Linked DNA regions of Drosophila melanogaster. The protein of the gene in region 1 interacts with the protein of each later gene in a pairwise test. Each region holds a gene or a part of one and is shown on either strand. Other genes may lie near its edges.

The links.
Region 2: the proteins of CG8086 (region 1) and CstF50 interact in a two-hybrid assay, tested with the Drosophila melanogaster proteins (one large-scale study listed by BioGRID).

What each region holds. Positions count from the first base shown.
Region 1 is NT_033779.5:8,247,361-8,257,856, forward strand, and holds the start of CG8086 (uncharacterized protein), read right to left. Parts: upstream 5,607-10,496; 5' UTR 5,492-5,606; coding exon 5,483-5,491; intron 5,416-5,482; coding exon 5,235-5,415; intron 5,174-5,234; coding exon 4,868-5,173; intron 3,966-4,867; coding exon 3,864-3,965; intron 3,608-3,863; coding exon 3,503-3,607; intron 3,322-3,502; coding exon 3,223-3,321; intron 3,141-3,222; coding exon 3,042-3,140; intron 2,971-3,041; coding exon 2,872-2,970; intron 2,769-2,871; coding exon 1-2,768.
Region 2 is NT_033777.3:31,731,286-31,740,453, reverse strand, and holds CstF50 (cleavage stimulation factor 50 kD subunit), read left to right. Parts: upstream 1-3,490; 5' UTR 3,491-3,573; coding exon 3,574-4,509; intron 4,510-4,563; coding exon 4,564-4,902; 3' UTR 4,903-4,951; downstream 4,952-9,168. Other genes in the region: eEF1alpha2 (eukaryotic translation elongation factor 1 alpha 2), read right to left, coding at 1-107; CG11563 (uncharacterized protein), read right to left, coding at 2,555-2,795, 2,854-3,138, 3,215-3,312; ttk (tramtrack), read right to left, coding at 5,958-7,534.

The DNA.
Region 1 (10,496 bases):
GGATTCACTCAGTGATCTCGGATCGTGTTTGCCGGCGAAGGTGAACGCCGGATTGAAGTCCTGCCTGACCTTCTCCGGGAAGTAGTCTCCGGGTGCGGGCGTTTCGCTGGGCTTATGCAGGTCATGGCGACCGGCGAAGGAGAAGGCGGGATTGTGATCTAGCCTAACTTTCTCGGGATGGTAATCCCCGGGAGCTGGAGTGTCATGGGTTACCTTTGGATCATGCTTGCCGGCCATTGTAAAAGCAGGATTATGGTCCTGCCTAACTTTCTCGGGGGAGTAAGCTCCGGGGGCAGGAGTCTCATTGGGCTTGTGGAGATCATGACGGCCGGCAAAGGAAAATGCGGGAACATGATCTTGCCTAACCTTTTCAGGGTGATAATCTCCTGGTGCCGGTGTATTGTTCTCCACCTTGGGATCATTCTTGCCCCCAAATGTAAAAGCTGGAGTGTGATCTAAGCGAACCTTTTCGGGACAGTAGTCACCAGGAGCTGGGGTGCCATTGGTAATCTTCTCAATGTATTTACCAGCCATTGAGAATGCGGGATTGTGATCTTGCCTCACCTTCTCCGGTGAGTATGCTCCTGGAGCAGGAGTGTCGCTGGGCTTATGAAGATCGTGACGACCGGCGAAGGAGAAGGCGGGATTGTGATCTTGTCTAACTTTCTCGGGATGATAGTCACCTGGAGCTGGGGTATCGTTTTCTACTTTAGGATTGTTTTTACCAGCAAAGGTAAAGGATGGTGTGTAATCTAGACGGACCTTTTCGGGACTGTAGTCGCCAGGGGCAGGAGTATCATTGGAAACCTTAGGGTCATGCTTTCCGGCCATTGTGAAGGCAGGATTATGATCCTGTCTGACTTTTTCAGGAGAATAGGCTCCAGGTGCTGGAGTGTCGCTAGGTTTTTGAAGATTATGACGGCCAGCGAAAGAGAATGCTGGGTTATGATCTTGCCTAACTTTCTCGGGATGATAATCACCTGGAGCTGGGGTGTTGCTCTCAACTTTGGGATCGTTCTTTCCCCCAAAAGTATAGGCAGGTGTGTGATCTAGACGCACCTTTTCCGGACTGTAATCGCCCGGAGCTGGAGTGTCGTTGGCTACCTTTTGGGTGTACTTACCCGCCATTGAGAAGGCAGGATTATGATCCTGACGGACCTTTTCCGGACAATAGGCACCAGGGGCGGGAGTATCATTCGGTTTGTGAAGATCATGACGACCAGCAAAGGAGAAAGCTGGATTATGATCTTGCCTGACCTTTTCGGGATGATAATCCCCAGGAGCGGGAGTATTGTTCTCTACTTTCGGATCGTTTTTGCCACCGAAAGTGTAGGCTGGAGTATGATTTAAGCGTACTTTCTCCGGGCTGTAGTCTCCGGGAGCGGGAGTACCATTAGTTAGCTTTTCAACTGGCTTGCCTGCCATTGAAAATGCTGGGTTATGATCTTGACGTACCTTCTCGGGAGAGTAGGCTCCTGGAGCAGGAGTATCACTTGGCTTTTGAAGGTCGTGACGACCGGCAAAGGAGTACGCTGGATTGTGGTCCAACCTCACCTTCTCCGGATGGTAATCTCCTGGTGCCGGAGTGTTATTCTCTACTTTAGGATCATTCTTTCCCCCAAAACTGTAAGCAGGTGTGTGGTCTAATCTGCACTTTTCGGGACTATAGTCTCCTGGTGCCGGAGTGCCATTTAAAATCTTCTGATCGTGCTTGCCAGCCATCGTGAAAGCTGGATTGTGATCTAATCTCACTTTCTCCGGCGAGTAAGCACCTGGAGCGGGAGTCTCGCTTGGCTTGTGGAGATCATGGCGGCCAGCAAAGGAGTACGCTGGATTAGTATCTTGCCTAACTTTCTCGGGGCTATAATCACCAGGAGCAGGTGTATCGTTGGTAACCTTGGCATCATACTTGCCGGCCATTGAGAAAGCTGGATTGTGGTCCAGTCTCACTTTCTCCGGGAAGTAGGCTCCAGGAGCGGGAGTGTTGTCTGGTTTCTGAAGGTCGTGACGACCGGCAAACGAATATGCGGGATTGTGATCCTGCCTAACTTTTTCGGGATGATAATCACCCGGGGCCGGAGTGTTATTCTCTACTTTAGGATCACTCTTAACGCCAAAACTGTAGGCGGGAGTGTGATCCAAGCGGACCTTCTCGGGACAATAGTCCCCAGGAGCCGGGCTATCGCTGGTCACCTTTTGACTGTGTTTCCCGGCCATCGAGAAGGCAGGATTGTGATCTTGTCGCACCTTCTCCGGGGAGTAGGCGCCCGGAGCGGGTGTTTCACTGGGTTTGTGCAGATCGTGGCGCCCGGCAAAGGAGAAGGCCGGATTGTGATCTTGCCGGACTTTCTCGGTGTCGTAGGCTCCCGGTGCTGGTGTGTCGCTTGGCTTGTGCAGATCGTGGCGACCGGCGAATGAGAAAGCGGGATTGTGATCGTGCCGCACTTTTTCGGGACAGTAGTCGCCCGGTGCCGGAGTGGAGCTCTCGAGTCGCTGCTCGTGCTTACCGCCGAAGGTGAAGGCCGGCGTTCGATCGTTGCGATACTTTTCCGGGGCATACGAACCGGGCGCCGGAGTCTCGCTCACGGACCTCGTCTCTGGGCGTCCGGACAGGGTGAATGCGGGCGTGTGGTCCAGCCGCACCTTCTCCGGATTGTAGGTGCCCGGCGCTGGCGTGTCACTCGACTTGGCCAGCTCGGCACGGTGGCCAAAGCTGAAGGCAGGCGTCCTGCTCAGGACGCACTTCTCGGGTTCGTATGCTCCGGGTGCTGCAAGAGATTGGGTGAAGATAAGGTGTAAAAAGAGTTGGGTTTTGGTGTGCGGGTCGCACGCTAAGACTAAGATCCATTGAAATGCGATTCTAGAACTCACCAGGTGTGCAATCGACCACGTCCTGCGAAGCCTTTCCGGCGATTGAGTAAGCGGGTGCGGAGTGCAACCTTGACTTTTCGGGGCTGTAGGCACCGGGTGCTGGTCATAAGGACATAAAAGTGTGCGCTATAAGCCAAGTTACTACAGCCCAGCTGAGCGGGAAGCCTTACCTGGAGTATCGCTGACCTGGATGTGTTTGGTCTTCAAGCCAAAGCTGTAGGCGGGAATGTGTTCGAGGACAACCTGCTCGGGCTTGTAGGTGCCTGGCGCTAATGAAAGTGTCGTCGTGGTGAAAGCATCAAGCAGCTATATTAACGTGGCTCAAACCTACAAGGCATACTGTTTACAAACCTGGAGTGTAATCTGGTCGCTGTTCATGGTGCTTGATGCCGAAACTGAACTCTGGCGTCTTGTTGAGCTTCACCTTCTCTGGACAATATGCGCCAGGAGCTGCGGATGGGATGGGATATCAGTATTAAGTTGGCCAAAAGTCACGGGAATAGAAAAGGAAAGCGCTATAGATACTGTCCAATTGGGTACGCTTGAGCAAGTGGTGCCTCGATTGGGGTAGATACGGATACAATTACAGATGCAGATACAGTTACTTGGGGGGGAGGCTGGGATTTATTACCTGGTGTGCCCTGATCGTGTTCGATTTTAGTTCGTCTACCGAAAGTGTAGCGTGGCGCATTCTTTTTTGATTGCGTGACCTTTTCAGGGCAATAGCTATTCGGAGCTGTTAGTGTTAATAAAACATTCGATTTTTAGTCTACTCGAATCAAAACTAAAGGTCTACACTAGGTGAGCTACGACTAAGTGTGGGTGAATTACAAATAGATAGATATGTATATACGGATAGAAAGATACATTATTTCGGGAATTAGTGATGAGTTGGGGATTAATTGATCGGGTTAGAAGTTAGAGAGCGGAGCTAGACCAACACCAACACTAAAACGCAACGTGGACGAAGTTTGGACAGTTAGTTGGGTTACCTGGATTGTTAACCAAATACACGTTAACCTTAATGCGAAAGGAGTAGCGTGGGGCTCGCCGCTTGACGACATCAAGTGGCACCACTTGATAATAGTTGGGACCTGAGTCTCGATTTTGCCACGGCAATCATTCATTGAAAGAGAAAAACGTTTCAAATTAAAATCAAATCAGGCAACATAACAAAAAAAAAGAGGTCACACAAATTACTGAACCACTAAAGTAACACATATACAAAGAACACTGTGTAGCTAGGAAATAATAAATGAGAATTAGAGAATATGTATAATCTTAAATAGAAATATTTATGAGAAATTAAGACATCTGATCTCCGTTTCCGTTTGACTCATAAATAAAAATAACTGAGCCAAGTTGTAGACAATCTTTCACAAAATAGATGACCGTATAAAGACATTGCCAATTCCTCCTACGTAAATTTGTAGCTTTTTTTTAGGGAAACAAAGAAAGTTTAGAGAACGAGATATGAACAAATCGAATAAATAATAATAATGCCCAACATTATAATTAAATACTTTTTAATTAATGTACCAAAAATAATAGAATAGAATAAGCCAAATCATTCACGCACATTACGAGGTGACATAACTACGATTCAATCTCAAGGATACCCAAAGATACAGCAGAATAATCTACGAAATGTGGCTACGACTACACTAGCTACTGAGATAGAGATAGAAAGTGGGAGAAAGTGGAAGAAAGGGGCGGTAGCAACTTACGCGCTGCTTGCAGTAAGGATGCAACTGGCATGGATTCGGATTAGTTAATGAGTACGCTTCTATGTACAATGATGATCCATGATTGAAATTGATTGATGATCTCCTCAGTCCGCGCATGCAACCAAAAAAAAAAAAAAAAACAGCACCAGCCCGCAACAAACACCGAATTCAACGCCAAATTCAAAGTCAATTTTCAGATCCAACTCCAAAATCCAACATCAGGTCCAAAAACACCATTCAAACACCAGTGGAAGAAGACCGAGACTCACCTGGTATCTGGAAGGTTTTCAACGCGACCGGCCGTTGGCCAAAAGTGTATTTGGGCGTGGCATCGATCACCGCCTTGGCCGCCGGCACCACATCGTATTCCCCAGGTCCGGGATTCGAGAAGCGTGTTAGTTCCTTGGGTCTGCTCTGCAGAGTGGCTGCTCGAGGATAATCCCGACCCTTGGCTCGCATACCCGTAACATTGTACTGCGCCGGACCCGGTCCGGAGGTGTCATACTTTCCGCCCAACTTGTGGCCAAAGGAGTACGAGGGTGCGGCCTTCTTCTTGGAGTCGGGAACTTTGCTGCCTAAATGTGGGATTTTCAATAAGTTATATTTGCAGGAACATTAAACCAATCTTAAGCTTACCTATCAAGGTTGGAAGTTGGACAGTGGCTGGACCCGGATTGGTGGTCTCGGCGGCGATCTTGCCGATCCTAACAGTTGGAGTCCAAGGACGCTGCTCCACGTTGCCGCCCATGTTAATTGGACGAATCTTACGCACGCGGGCGCAGGGTCCCTGATCCTTGTTCTTGTTTTTGAACTCGACCTAAAAAGGGGAAAACAAACAACAATATTAAGAAATCCATTAGTTATTTAGATCTTCAAGAAACCACCTTGTTCATCTTGCTGTTTTTAGGCTTAGTAGTATCGAAGTCTGAAAATTGTGCCCCAATGTAAAAAAAAAAAGTTAAAGACCAAATTTACTGAACTCCCTTCGCTGACATTTACACGTGTGAGTGGGTGATAGGCTGACTACTGAAATCTATACTTCGACCCCCAAACTTGGGTAACCTAATAATCCAAATTTCGTCCTACTCCAACAGCCAAGTCGATGACACAAAAATCAATCGTCTGGCATTTGTTTCGAACTTTCTGGGCCAATTCCGATGGGGCGGCTAATAACCAGGCGTGTAGCTCCACATATTCATACCATCCATGGGCGAATGGATTCAGTGGATGGGGGCGTGTCGTGTGGCGGCTGTCACTCTTTTTCTTCTCCTTCTTCTGCAGTGGCTGTTGCTCGGCATTTGTTGCAGGTTCCTTCTGTTCGAGCCGCGAATTTGTTGCGCCGCACGAAATACAAACAATGGCAATAACTTTGCGGTAGGCTCGTAATTCTTGGGCGTCAGTGGCAGGCACAAAAGTTGCAGGGGTTTGCAGTGCAACCAAAATAAAGTTAAGAAACTTAAATTACAGTCTTATTATGTCTTTGCCTTTCAGTTGTATTTGATTTTGAATAGAGAGCAATAATTTATATATGTAATCGAAGTTTGTAAAGGTGCCTAAATATATCTAGCATATATTGAGCTTCACCCTTTAAATTGAATTTCCCTATAAAAAGGGAACAATAAAATACGAAGAGAAAACCAAATGAATTTTAATGCAGTTACCACGGTAGACAATTTTATTATACATATGATTACCACTAAGTCGTAACAAAAGAAGTGCACAATAAAAGTGTTTCCAGCTAGTTAGGAGCTAGACAAAATGAATATTTTAATGAGAGGCCCCCCTCAACAACATTCGTATTCCCCAAAACCTGCTGCTGCCCTGGGTGACGACCTTCTTTTCACAGCTCAGCACACGGGACACCAAGTGTTGCCCATCGACAGGCGGGCAGACATCGGAAAACAGACCGGTACCAGCTGGTATCAGGAGTTCCAACCACGCTCCACCTTACCAACTTTCCACCTTTCCACCTTTTTAGCGCCAGGAACCAGGCATTTGGGCATGTAATCGATATGGGGCTGGATTTGGATACGGATACGAATTCGACGGGCGCCGAGATTTGGGGTCTGGTCAACAAGGTTGTGTCCCGAATCGAAGCGAAACGAAACGAAACGAAGGGGAGTATGCTAAGTGCTAATGCTGCCCATTTTGTGGGGCATGTAAGCCAACAAAACGATTACTTTTAATGACTTATGGCCGACAATTGCATGAACCAAAACAAAAACAAACCCAGGACCCAAAAGAAATGCGAAGCGTGCCACTTCTTTTGGCCGTGAAAATTCGCCAGCCTGTGTAAATAATTACAAACAATGTTAGGGGGCGTGGCCTGGCTGTTAACAGGGCCAATAAAGCCGTCGTTCTGCTGCCAAGAAAGGCTTCACTTTTCCCGCCAGCCGCACTTGTTACTTGCTACATATGACTCCTGACCTCGCATGCAATTCACATATACATATGTATGTATTTATGTACAAAAAACAATGTTCTCTTCGCAAGGCAGGCAGTCATCAGGCGGTCTTATAAGGCGACTCTTACATCACCATCATGAGGTTGGAAAGCCCACACACCGTACCGCCTGTTCAATTGCTGTTCGAGGCCAAGATCAGCGAAGAAAACTGAAAATCTAACGATGAATCAGAGCCGGCAGCTGAGCCAACAAACTCAGACATCTGTCAGACAAAGAGTCTTGGCCACCCACCCACATTGCTCGCATTGAAGGAAATCTGTCTTAATATGCACATATGGCATCGAAAAGAGATCAATTAAAAATCTAAAAATATATTAAGCTTAATTGTGAAAGAAAATTGTGATTGAATAATAGTCATCTTATACATAAAAGCATAACTGTCAAGATTTTGGAAGCATATAGTAGAACAGAAAATTTCAAAACATAAGATATTGCATTTGATTGTCACGCTTTTTTCTATAAACCATTAAAAAAGGGGTTCAAAATACAAAATCATGTATGCCTTATATATGACTTTAATTTATCAGCCAAGTTATTGCCACCACCAAATAGTGTGTGCTATTTTTCCGAGTGCAACTTCAATTGAATAATGTTTGGTTCGCCCGTTCAGGAGGTCGCATTTAATCACGTTAATAGAGCGTTGGCTCATGCAATCAATTTGCATGTGGCGATCAGATTTCAGTAATCAAATTATAGATGGTGATGCTCGATAATCTATGCACGGGGGTCAGTGTATAAACCGGCTAAACTATATAGTTTATTAAAATCGCCCCCACACACTCGACTTTCGATCTCTCTTTCTCGCTATAAATATTTGCTTGCATTTTGTGAATAACAAAAACTGGCATTCATTATTAGTTACAGAGAGTTTCAGCAAATATTTTAGCATTATCTCTGTGACCTTCGGTGATTTGTTTATGATGATGTGTTTCTGTTTGATTTAAATTGATATTCTCACAGTTGACCCGATGACTCTGCACCCGTGACGAAAACAACGCGTCAGCTTTAATTTGTGATTTTCACTCTAAAAATATAAATAAAAGCTGTAGGTAGCCTCAGCCATAAAACTGAAATACCCTGTAAGTGAAGTTGTGTTTACTAATCTGTTTTGATTGAATATAATAGCATAGGTTCGAAATAAGTGAAAGAATGCCTAATATAGATTCCTTAACATGGAAATAATGTTTCAAATTGTATAAATATTTCAACAGTTTTTAATCACATAATCATTTTTAATCATCGATGGACCATGTATCGATATACCCCCCTTATTTACTAATTGTGAGGTATCTGTATCTCTGACATGATCAACAATCATCTCAACTCAGTGAAAACGTTTTTATGTTCTTTCGACTTCATTTCACGCTCTCCAAAACTGCGAATTAAATATGAGCTCATTCCCAAAATTTAGACAATTTCCAGGCGGCCAACTTGGGGGCTTTTACGCCCAAATACGGCGGCCGACGTTTCCTTTAGCCCACATTGAGTTGTCCGAAAAAGCCAGTTCGGAATTGGGTTTCCAGACGGCAGATCGACCCACGCAGAAACTCCATGACTCCGCGATATATAGACATACAGCCAAATAGCCATAATTCGTGTGCTGTCTCTATTAACTATTGCCTCTTTTTTTTTGTAAAAGTTTAATTAACGCCGAACAAGTTGAGCAATTCCTTTCCAAAAACAGAAAACGACAACAAGTGAGTGAGCCAGCCGGCAAAAGGCCAAAAAGGCCGAAAAGAGCTGGTAAATGAAAACATGAGAGCCAAGAAGCAAAACTGAACTCTCGTGATTGTGATAAAAACGCCAAGACCGACTGACGTCAGCTGTGTGAACTAGTTTGCGATCGTCCAAATCTAATTAAGTTTCTCAACATTCTCGGTGCTCTGCAGCGCGAACGTGTTTTGGCTTTGAAAACCAAGAGAAAGCTGGGAAATGAGGCGGGAAAAATTGGCAAACCCTCACTGAAACTTGGTTCTCAAGGCACAAGGCCAATGTTTTCAAATAGCTGTTGATAATTACTAAATTTAATGGGGGACCATCACACATCCGTTTCCAAATTCTAGAGCCTGAGATCACTGGCTGCTGCTGACACAATTTGCATGTTTGGATACATAAATATCCGTTTGGGTCATTTTATAAATATTTATTTAGCGATTATTGCATTTCCCCTTAGCAGCTTACTTTTCTATTTAACCTTTTACCATTCGTTACTTCGCTATTTTGTATCTTTTTTTTTTTTGTTTTTGGCCAACGCGCTTTTGTGTTGTGCCTGCGCCATAATCAGTGACTTTGAAAAATGAGCTGCTGACTCGGGTCGACCGGTTATTAGAGCTGATGTCATGGGCTTCGTGGGACAAGTGAAGTAAAGGTATCAAGAACCGCGGAAGGGTTACATCTATGCCAACAAGTGACATCAATACGGGAACGCGAGTGTCATTGACTAAACAATGGGAGGAGCTGGGTGGATTTATTTGGGGGCGGAGCAGAACAGCTGACTGGCGGTGGGGAAACCTAGCCCTATGCCACCAGGAAATGCCAATAGTTAGACAGACAGACAGTCAATGAACTTTGGGGTCGGGTCAGCACGCAATCCCACTGGCTGCTCCGGTCGGGCTCCACCTGACTTGGTTAACGCCTACTCCAGTTTATCCTTACCGCAGGCTACTTTACGATTTCGGGTATCTCGTCCTGTTTCCGTTGTATCGTGTGATTTCCGTAACTTTCTTTTACACAGTAAAAAACTTCACTTTATTGCGGTGCTAATAGCGCGTAGTGCATACAGTCCTTGCCAGGATTAGTCGCGATTTTTGGGCGATATTCAAAACATCTGTTCACCCGAAAGAGATTGCTATATTCGTTGTTATTGTAGTTGGGTTTCGTGGCTGATTTATTATTTCGTTGATTCGTTCGTTGATTGGGTTCAAGTGACAGCCGCTTTCGAGTGTCGGTCTGCCGACTGGCGTTTGAAGTCTACTAGAGGTTTTCAAAACAAAACACACTTTGCTGATTTATTTATACCGATTGGATTGGCCGCTATGAGCTGAGTTTGTTTCAGTGAAAGAGAAGAGAGCTAGCTAGAACCGCACTCGAGAGCTGTCGAACAGAAACTGCGGCACCAAGTCGCTAACGCTCGCTTTTCGTTTCAAATTTTCGACGTAACGAATGCAAGACGTCACGTAAGCCACCGCGTTGGCGTTAACAGTCGACGTAAGAGTTAACATGAGTCTCCTCTGTTATTTGGCTAAGGATTTTGATTGATTTGTGGTGAGACATGAGCTTCAAACTCTATTTAATATCAATTAAGAAGTAGTTTTAGAAAAAATGTATATGCTCATCACTTATATTTTCAGCAAAATATTCAAATAAACTTTCTGGGAGTGGTGTCGGGTAGAATTTCCCCGCCCAAAACATATTTCCTGAAATCGATTTCCATT
Region 2 (9,168 bases), on another chromosome or scaffold:
TTGTCGATGCCGCCGCATTTGTAGATCAAGTGGCCGGTGGTCGTCGACTTGCCGGAGTCCACATGGCCAATGACCACAATGTTAATATGGATCTTCTCCTTGCCCATCCTTGCAGATTAAGCTATTTTTTAGAGCTGCTGGGAGACAGAAGGGATGCAGGTATTCGGATGAGCAAAGTGGGTGGTTTCCGTACTCGGGGAGGTAGCATGCCAATGTGGGTCTGAACTTAATGGGTGGTGCAGACGAGTGACGTCTGTATGCTGTGGGTCGTGTCATCGTGGTGTAGACACCAAAAGCACACTTCATACGGACAGGCACAAACGTACACCAGGGAAAACCATTGAACTTTTATATTTCGAAAATACGAATTTTAAACAATTCAAGAGTAAACACGAAAATCACGCGAAAAGTTTACCAATTAGTTCAAATTAAGCCTTATACTGAATAATAGGAAAAATATAAATACACATGTATGTTTTTACGGACTCTTATGGACACTAATGTGTACGATTGAGAAATACACCCATATTCCCATAATATTTTTGCCCACAAATGTATGCAGCAAGAATTTACAAGCAGAAAAACTCACCTGTTTTCACGAGACTTTCTAGAGTTTCTTATTACTCGGCAACGCTGCGCACTTAGAAACTGATCACAAACCCACGCGACGCTATATCCTAGAATTAGAAGGAAATCGTTGTCATAAAAATGGCAGTTTTTAAACTCTATGCGGATCTTCCGTACTCTGCAGCCGGACCACGACCGGGCCAAGTGTCTGTTGGTTAAAGACTGCCGTGTATATCCTCTGCCGAAGTGCACCGGGCGAAAAATCAATAACGAGCCCCAGACAGAAACGAATGGAGCCGAAGTGTGCGTACTGGGAAAATGCACTCTCCTCGGCTGGAGAGGATTAAGCCGAAGAGAAACCCTCGTCGGAAAGCCGGGAAGTGCGGCAGTGCATGGCGAAAATGTGCCGGCCGGCGTTTTTAGTGGGAAAACCAATGAAAATCGCACACCCAAACGGATTTCAATTAAAGCCAAATGTCGAAATGCCGAAATTTGGCAGCTTTCGCAGCACGGTGGAAGAAAATTCAAAGGGAAATGGCCAAAAGCATCGGCATTCGGTGGCGGTCGTGCGGCGAAAATTCCGCGATTCCAAAGGGTGAAAAACTGTAGAGGGAGATGGAGAGAGCGGGAGAGAAAGGGACGGCGAACGGGCGCAGTGCACTTGCTGGTCATGCAGAGAAGGAAGGGAAAGAGACGGCGAGAACTGCAGGGCGTTGTGATTTATTTTCTACCCCAGTGACAGTTTCACTTGCCGATTTTCCTGCATGTTATTTTTAAATCTTTGTATTTGCATCGAAGTGCAAATTGGAAGAAGCAATGGGAATGAAGGGGGAAAGAATATGCAAAAATACTTCGTCAGAGATGCAGGGCAGGAAAATAATCTGCTAACCATGTGTCATCATGCCGCGGATATTTTTTTTTTGCCTGCGAATTCCAATAGAAACTACTCGGGAATAAACGGCTTGAGAACGGGAAGGAGAAACGGGTACAATCCAGGCAAAATCGAACGCGCACACACATGCAGCCGGTCGCCATGTTGGAATTCGAAAGTCTATGCAACTTTATTAATTTACTTGCAATTTAAGGTCGCTGGAAAACCAATTTCCAATTCGAATCGATTTACACAGCTATTATGCAAAAGGAATGAGAAGACCGGCCGGCAGCGCAAATCACTTACACTCTCTCACTTTTCGGAACTTTCTTTACTTTAGAACTTTCTTTAGGTTGGAAAATCGAACCGAAATTCGCCTAATAATGCAGGGTAGGGAATTCTGGGACTTTCCCTTTTTACATTTCCACAACTAATCAATGCCTATTAATATTTTCACAATTTAACGGGAGCTCTGCGTGCACTTACCTCGAAATCACAAAACGGAAAGACCGAAAAAGCAACGATGCTGAGGTGAACGGAGCTGAACTGATTCCGACCTAGAGATGGCACAGGATTCCATGTATGACAAGGGCCTTGGGTTTCCTATTGCATTATGCGGATTTCTTGACTTAAATAAAGTTTCCATCCCTTAAGTATAAAACGTACCAAAATAAAAATAGTAATACAATTTTACTACCATTCATGGAATATTTTATATTCTCTTAAACTGAGTCTTTTGCAGATAAAATAATATAGTACTTTCACGGACTGTCACTAAAAGTATGCACATTCACCACTAATTGCAAAAGACATTGTGCACACTATTCGCTTATGCGTTGAAATAAGACGCAAGCTCCTTCCTTTCTCTCTCTCTCGTCCTGTCGTACGACAGAACAATAGAAAATTTGACAGAACAAAAATGTTAGAAAGGAATTTGAAAAAATACTGTTAATAGTAATGTAATGTAATTAACAGTAATGCTTTAATACGTAGACCTTTTGCGTTCGTCTTTACTTGCCTATTTTATTGTATTAAAAGAATTAAAGTAAGTCTAAACATTACAATTAATAGCATTAGAACCCGAAAACGACTATAATGTACATTGGTCAAGAGCCATTATTTCCATTCACTGTCCGACTCGTATTCCTCCCAGTCCGGTTTCACGCCCACGGGCAACTTCTTCTGCTCCAGGTAAACGTTAAACTGCTCCGGAATCGACATAAATCTGCGAATCTTCAAGCGGAACTGCCGCCACGTCCACTGGCCAAAGTTTTTCCGATCGGCAACCATCGCCTTGTAGTTAAACTTATGTTTGTTAAGAAAGTAGGACAGTTCCTTGACCACGCCCTTGGGTAATCTGTGCAAATACAAAACCTGTATTTTGACAGTTTTCCATTGCAGAATCAATATTTTACCTGAACTCTGGGTCGGCTCGCTCGCTAGCCAGTTGTTCTAGTTCCTGGACTACGTGTCCACGTTTTGGACCCTCCTCTACGACTGGTTTCTTGAGGCCCAATACACGCCGCTCATCCTCGTCCAGCTCCTCCTCCAGAAACCCATTCACAACTCGGGCCGCTAGGAGGCGGTCCTTCTTGTAGCTGGGAATCGCAATGGCCTTGTTGACGTCCTTGGCCAACCCCATTTCACTGAAGTTGGTGCCCACACGCTGGTCCTCCATCCACATCTTTTTCATCCTGGGACTGGTAAGATCATAACAGAAGGTTTTCGTAAACTTGTTGACTCTATTGGCTGTAAGTGCACCAAGATCCAACTTACTCCTTAATTTTTCCGGTGGAACTCCGGGTTTTATTCATCGTCTTGCGGTTTACATTGTAGCGATAACGCTTGCGAGCATGATTCTTGCGGATCTTCATTGTTGAGAGGTTTAATTAATGAATCAAACAATGTTTAAAATCAATTGAGGGGACCAAAACAATTTTAAAACCGCACGTGTTGCAGCTGTTAGGAGTGACCGTGGACCGTAAAATACCGAAACCCTGATTTCAGTATTTCAATACCGCATAGCTAGAGATGACATACCGGCAAGATAAATGTTTTCGATAACGATAACGGCACGGCGTTATCTACAAGATTTTGTTTATATCCGTAGGAAACAAAATATAAATTAAGCCACCATGCGTGATGAGATTTTGGACCCCAGTAACCTAGTGAAGAACCGGGAGATACTCTACCGACTGATGATCAGCCAGCTGATGTACGACGGCCTGGAGAAGTTCGCCATGGAGCTGTCCATGCTGGTGAAGGCGGACCAGTGCGCTCCCAGTGAACGCCTGCTGCACGTAATGATTGCAGGGATGCAGACGCTGAGCGACAAGGACAAAACCAACTCGGATGATGTGCTGCCCGGCATAGACTTGGAATTCGAGCCGGAGGCTTCGGCCTTGGCCCCGGAACCACATTCCTACGAAACCGCGTATGTGACCTCGCACAAGCAGGCCTGTCGCGCCGGCGCCTTCAGTTGCGATGGTTCCCTGGTGGCCACCGGGAGCGTGGATGCCAGCATCAAGATTCTGGACGTGGAGCGGATGCTGGCGAAGTCTGCGCCCGAAGATATCGAGCCGGGCAGGGAACAACAAGGCCATCCAGTGATTCGCACGCTCTATGATCACACTGATGAAGTGTCTTACCTGGAGTTCCATCCCAAGGAGCACATCCTGGCCTCCGCCTCGCGCGATGGCACTGTTAAGTTGTTTGACATTGCCAAGCCTTCGGTAAAGAAGGCCCACAAGGTGTTCACCGACTGCGAGCCGGTGCTGTGCCTGTCTTTTCATCCTACTGGTGACTACGTAGCCATCGGAACGGAACATAACGTCTTGCGGGTCTACGATGTGGCCACCACCCAATGCTTCGTGAGTGCCATTCCCTCGCAGCAGCACAAGGCTGGAGTTACTTGCGTGAAATATTCGCCCACGGGGAAACTCTACGCCACAGGCAGCTATGATGGTGACATCAAAATATGGGATGGGATCAGCGGGCGGTGCATCAACACCATTGCCGAGGCGCATGGCGGAGCGGCAATATGCTCACTGGAGTTTACGCGGAATGGAAAGGTAATGGGACACTATGGGTAGTGGCTGTGCAAGATTTTAACTTATTCATTTTAGTACCTCCTATCTTCCGGTATGGATTCACTGGTTTATCTGTGGGAGCTGTGTACCAGTCGTCCCATTCAGACGTACACGGGCGCTGGAACCACCGGCAAGCAGGAGCACCAGACAGAGGCTGTATTCAACCACACAGAGGATTACGTGCTTTTCCCCGACGAGGCCACCACTTCGCTTTGCTCGTGGAACTCCCGTAACGGCTGCCGCCTGACCCTTAACTCGCTTGGACACAACGGACCTGTCCGCTATATTACGCATTCGCCCAATGGTCCTGCTTTCCTCACCTGCTCCGACGACTTTCGGGCACGTTTCTGGTACCGAAGAGCAAATAATCAGTAAACGGATGAAGCTACACCAATCGAATAAAACTTTAAGGAATAAAATATGTACACGTTCATTATTCAATTATTGTGATTGGCTGTGGGGGTTTTTAAGTGTATCGATTTGTGATTTTATCAGAATTAATGAAATATGTTTCAAACGCTTTTAAAAATAATTAATCAGTAAAATTTTCTTTATTAAAAACTCGTTTGTGGTTTTTCCATGAATAGTTATCCTAAAATCGCAACTATAATTTCTAGTCATTGAGCGCACAAGTCTTAAGTCGTATTTGTTGCGTTAAGTAAACTGTAAAAATCATAATACATAATACCAGATTGGGATTCCGTATAAATATCAGTTGTCTCTTCACTGGAAGTCCGTTTTGTTGTACGCTGGAACATTGATCCAATGCCTTATGACTACACCTAGATCCTAGTTAAGTGGCCTTAGTAGTTAATTAAGTTTACAACATTTCGTGGGGCCGCAGAACAGCGTTGTCGCGTTCCTCCGAAGCCACCAACACGTTTTGAAGATTGCACAATTAGCCAATACATTTGATTCCAACTTGTTGCCAAGGAAATGAACAAAATTATACTACGGACTTTGAGTATTAAACAAAATATAGCTATGTACAACAAAAAATAAAAAACAAAGGTCTATATAAAAAGGTTTAACAAAATCACAAAGAGAAATGAAAAGTTCTAAAGTTGCTTGCCTTACGGATCGTGTGCGGATCCAGTAAGCGGCCAGTCGAATTGTTTATAATTAAAGCCGAAAGTCATTAAAGTTCACTGAACTGCTCAATTGCGTTGCTCAATTGGGCAAAACTTATGTCCTAGGTAAATTAAATACTAGTGTTGCTTAAAAAAGGCGTTCTGGACGGAGCAAGTGTTAGAATTAATATTGCTTACGGGTTTACATTAACTAAAAATCGTTTTGAGTCTGGTGTGTTGCGTTTGAGTGCCACGATTGCTTATGTTGCTATGATGTATTCTACAGTTCAGAGCTCGCTGCTTAAGGTAAACGTTGTTGTGCGTTCGTAGTCCTTCCGTAACTCTGGTCCTTCAAAGTCTTTACGTTGCGGTTTGTGCGGTAGAGGCCAAAGCCAAGGACTTGCCCTCCGCCACAGCGCAGGAAGCGGGCGGGGTGGGCGAGGGCGACGGAGAGATCTGTATCTCATCCTTGATGATTACGTCTTGTTGCAGGCTCAACATGGCGGCTGCTGCTGCTGCTGGATTGGAGGCGTCATAGCCACCATCGCTCAGTTCCGCCTCCTGTTCCGCATCCTGGTCTTCCGCATGCTCCATCTTCACGTCGGGCAGGATAAGCGAACTGTCCCGGCTGTCAAAGGAGGCGTTTTGCTGCTCCAGTTGCTCGGCCAACTGGCGGTGGTAATGATCTTGCTGTTGCTGGTAGATCGTAGCGTGCATATCCCCTGCAGCCGCTGCACTGATCAAGTATTTCAGGGGGCTGAAGGCGCCAATGTCCTTCGGCGGCGTAAAGTTCTCGTGTGTCATCTTGAGGTGGTTCTTCATTTTATCTGGTCGCGAGAACTCTTTGGAGCACACGGGACATGGGAACACCTTGCGATGCTTGCCCTCGTGGTAGAGAAAGGCGTGACGTTGGAAGCTGTACTTGTTCTTGAATGTCTTCTGCATGTTCTCCTTGGCGCACTCGGTACAGCGGTAGACGCCCTCCACGACGCTCGCATACCGGAAGAGATCCAGCCCCCGCACGGACATCTCTGTCAGGTGTTCCGCTTGATCATCCAGCGTCGACTGGGCCTTGCGTCGAACTCTCCGCCGTTGAATCGGACGCTTAGCTCCCTTCTTTCCACTTCTAGGCGCGGGTGGTGGTGCCGTTGCTGTCTCCGCAGCAGGCGAATCTTCCTGCGCAGGTGTGGCTTCCGCCTCGTTGCCCTGGTAACCAGGCAAACCAGCGTTCTCATCAGCCAGCGTGACCATTTCATGATCGGGTTCATCGCTTTTATCCTGCTGATCATTAAGAGACAGCAGCTCCAGGTCGTCATCCATAAACTGGCCAGCACTCGAGGGAGACTCCTGCTGCTGCTGTTGGTAGTAATCGGTGGTGTTCAGCATGGAGTTGTTTGCTGCCATGTGAAGCAGTAGCTGGTGGTGCAGGTTCCCAGTGCTGGCCACCTGAGCAGCCTGCTGCTCGGCGGCATTTGCCAGCGAGTGCAGACCAATGCAGGCGTTGACCTCGTCCTGGTTTTTCTTCGGCATCTCCTTGGACTGTTCCTCGGCATTAAGGGCAGCATTGGGGGTCACTGCCCCCGTGATCCTGGTGGCAGGCGGCACCTCAGGATCCTTGGCTCCACCTCGCAGCTGTTGCTTGAGCAGAGAGTTGCTGTTATTGCTTCCTGTCGCCTGCCGTATCTTCGGCTTGGATTTCGTAGGCGTCTGGGGGGATCCTTGCTGCGCAGGCGTCGTAGTGTTAATGGCGCGTATCTTCAGGCCCAAAATAGTAGGCAGGTGAACCGGGGCGGACTCCCTTTCATCGCTGATCTCCAGCAGGGAAATCGTTTCCGAAGGACCAGTGCTGCTGCCGCCTGGAGCCGTTGCTGAGATTGTCGTCGAAGAGGAGCCGAAGAGCCGCTGGGAGAGCTCTGGAGTGGCCTTAGTAGGAGTAACTGTAATCAAAGATATTTAAAATATGAATTATATTTCCGGACCCATTAAAGACAGTTTAAATAGGAAAGCAGCTCCTTGACTGGAATTTGCCCAATCCCAAACAAATGAATTAAAACAATCAATTTTGTGTTTCAGAACTGATTTTGTTTTGAGTGTTTTTTGCATTGTGTATTTTATTTTTCTTCTGTTGGTCAGTTTTAAACGATAATATAAAGGATCTGCTTGATTAATATTGCGTGTGATTCACTATTTAGTAATTATGTTTAACGTATCGTATGATATATCGTAAAGTGTGTTTCGTAATTAGCTAATTTAAACGGAAACCATGTTACCAACAATTTCCAGACAATTTTCTCATTTTCACATGGAAGTTTGCCTTGCATTACGATTCTTATCTTTCATTTTCTTTGGGCATCAAAGCATGACTCTATATATGTAGCTATATTCCTCGTTCAGGTTTCGAGTTTGGACATTTTTGTTTGAAAGCGAGAAAATTGCTGAAGGTTTATAGTTGTTGAATGCAAAAATATATGTAAATGTATTCATATAAAAAAGTAGACTAAAAATAAAGTAAAATATAGTACAAACAAACACATACAAATAAATATGCATGACCTGTTTGATTGATTGTTTAAAATTAACGCCAAAAGAGATGTTTGGAAGATTGGTTCGATTGGGTGGAAATATATATTTGCGATATTGGTTAGTCGGTGTTTGGGAGACGGCGGCTTACTAACTAAATTGCACTAGCTACCACTAAATAAAGAATTAAAAACAAAATTATTTAATAAGTTAGCGTACGCAGCTTGTTTATTATTTGATTGCGCTTAATTTTGTTTCAATTGGTTTTCTGTACGTTTTTTGCAGTTGTAATTTTCTGAATCTTTTTCGTAGTTTTCTCTTAGTTCTCGAATTGCAACAAATTTGAACGTTTTACTTGACTGAGGAATTACTTGTTGTCTACTTTTCAAGTTCTTTATTTTGTTTGGAGATCGTTTCGCATTAACAACAATATTTTGTGGTCTGCTGCGACTGCTCTGTTGTTACTGTTGGATTTCAACTGCATTTTGTTTTGCTTTTGCTTTTGTTTTTGTTTTTGATTTTCATTTTCTTTGGCGATAATTTAAGCCTCCGATATACAACATAAATCGTTTGATAGATAAATTAGGTTTACTTTATGCTCATTAATATTAGCGTTATATCATTACAACTATGGTTGCTGTTACTATCTGTAGTTACACTTTATCAACGATCCCGACGAAACATTTTCAATCTTTCGCCGGGTCTCGGATGTTACGGGGAACGGTGTGGGTGACCGGTGACCGGGTTGGTTTTTGAGGGTGTGGACGTGCTGGGTATTCTGGGTGTGGTGCTGGGTGCCCAACGACCTTGACCCAGACCCGGGATTAACTTTTAACTAGCTTCATTTGAAGGCAACAAGGTAGATCTGCGCTCCCTCTCGCAAGATTAACATTACATTGATTATCCTGCTTCTGTTTTCAGATTTCGGCTTGTAATAATTTTATAGAATTAACATTAGCATATCGAACATAGTGATATTGATAAATTAATTAATAGAACTACAGCTAGACATACCATTCAATGTTTATATATATTATTTATATCATTATGT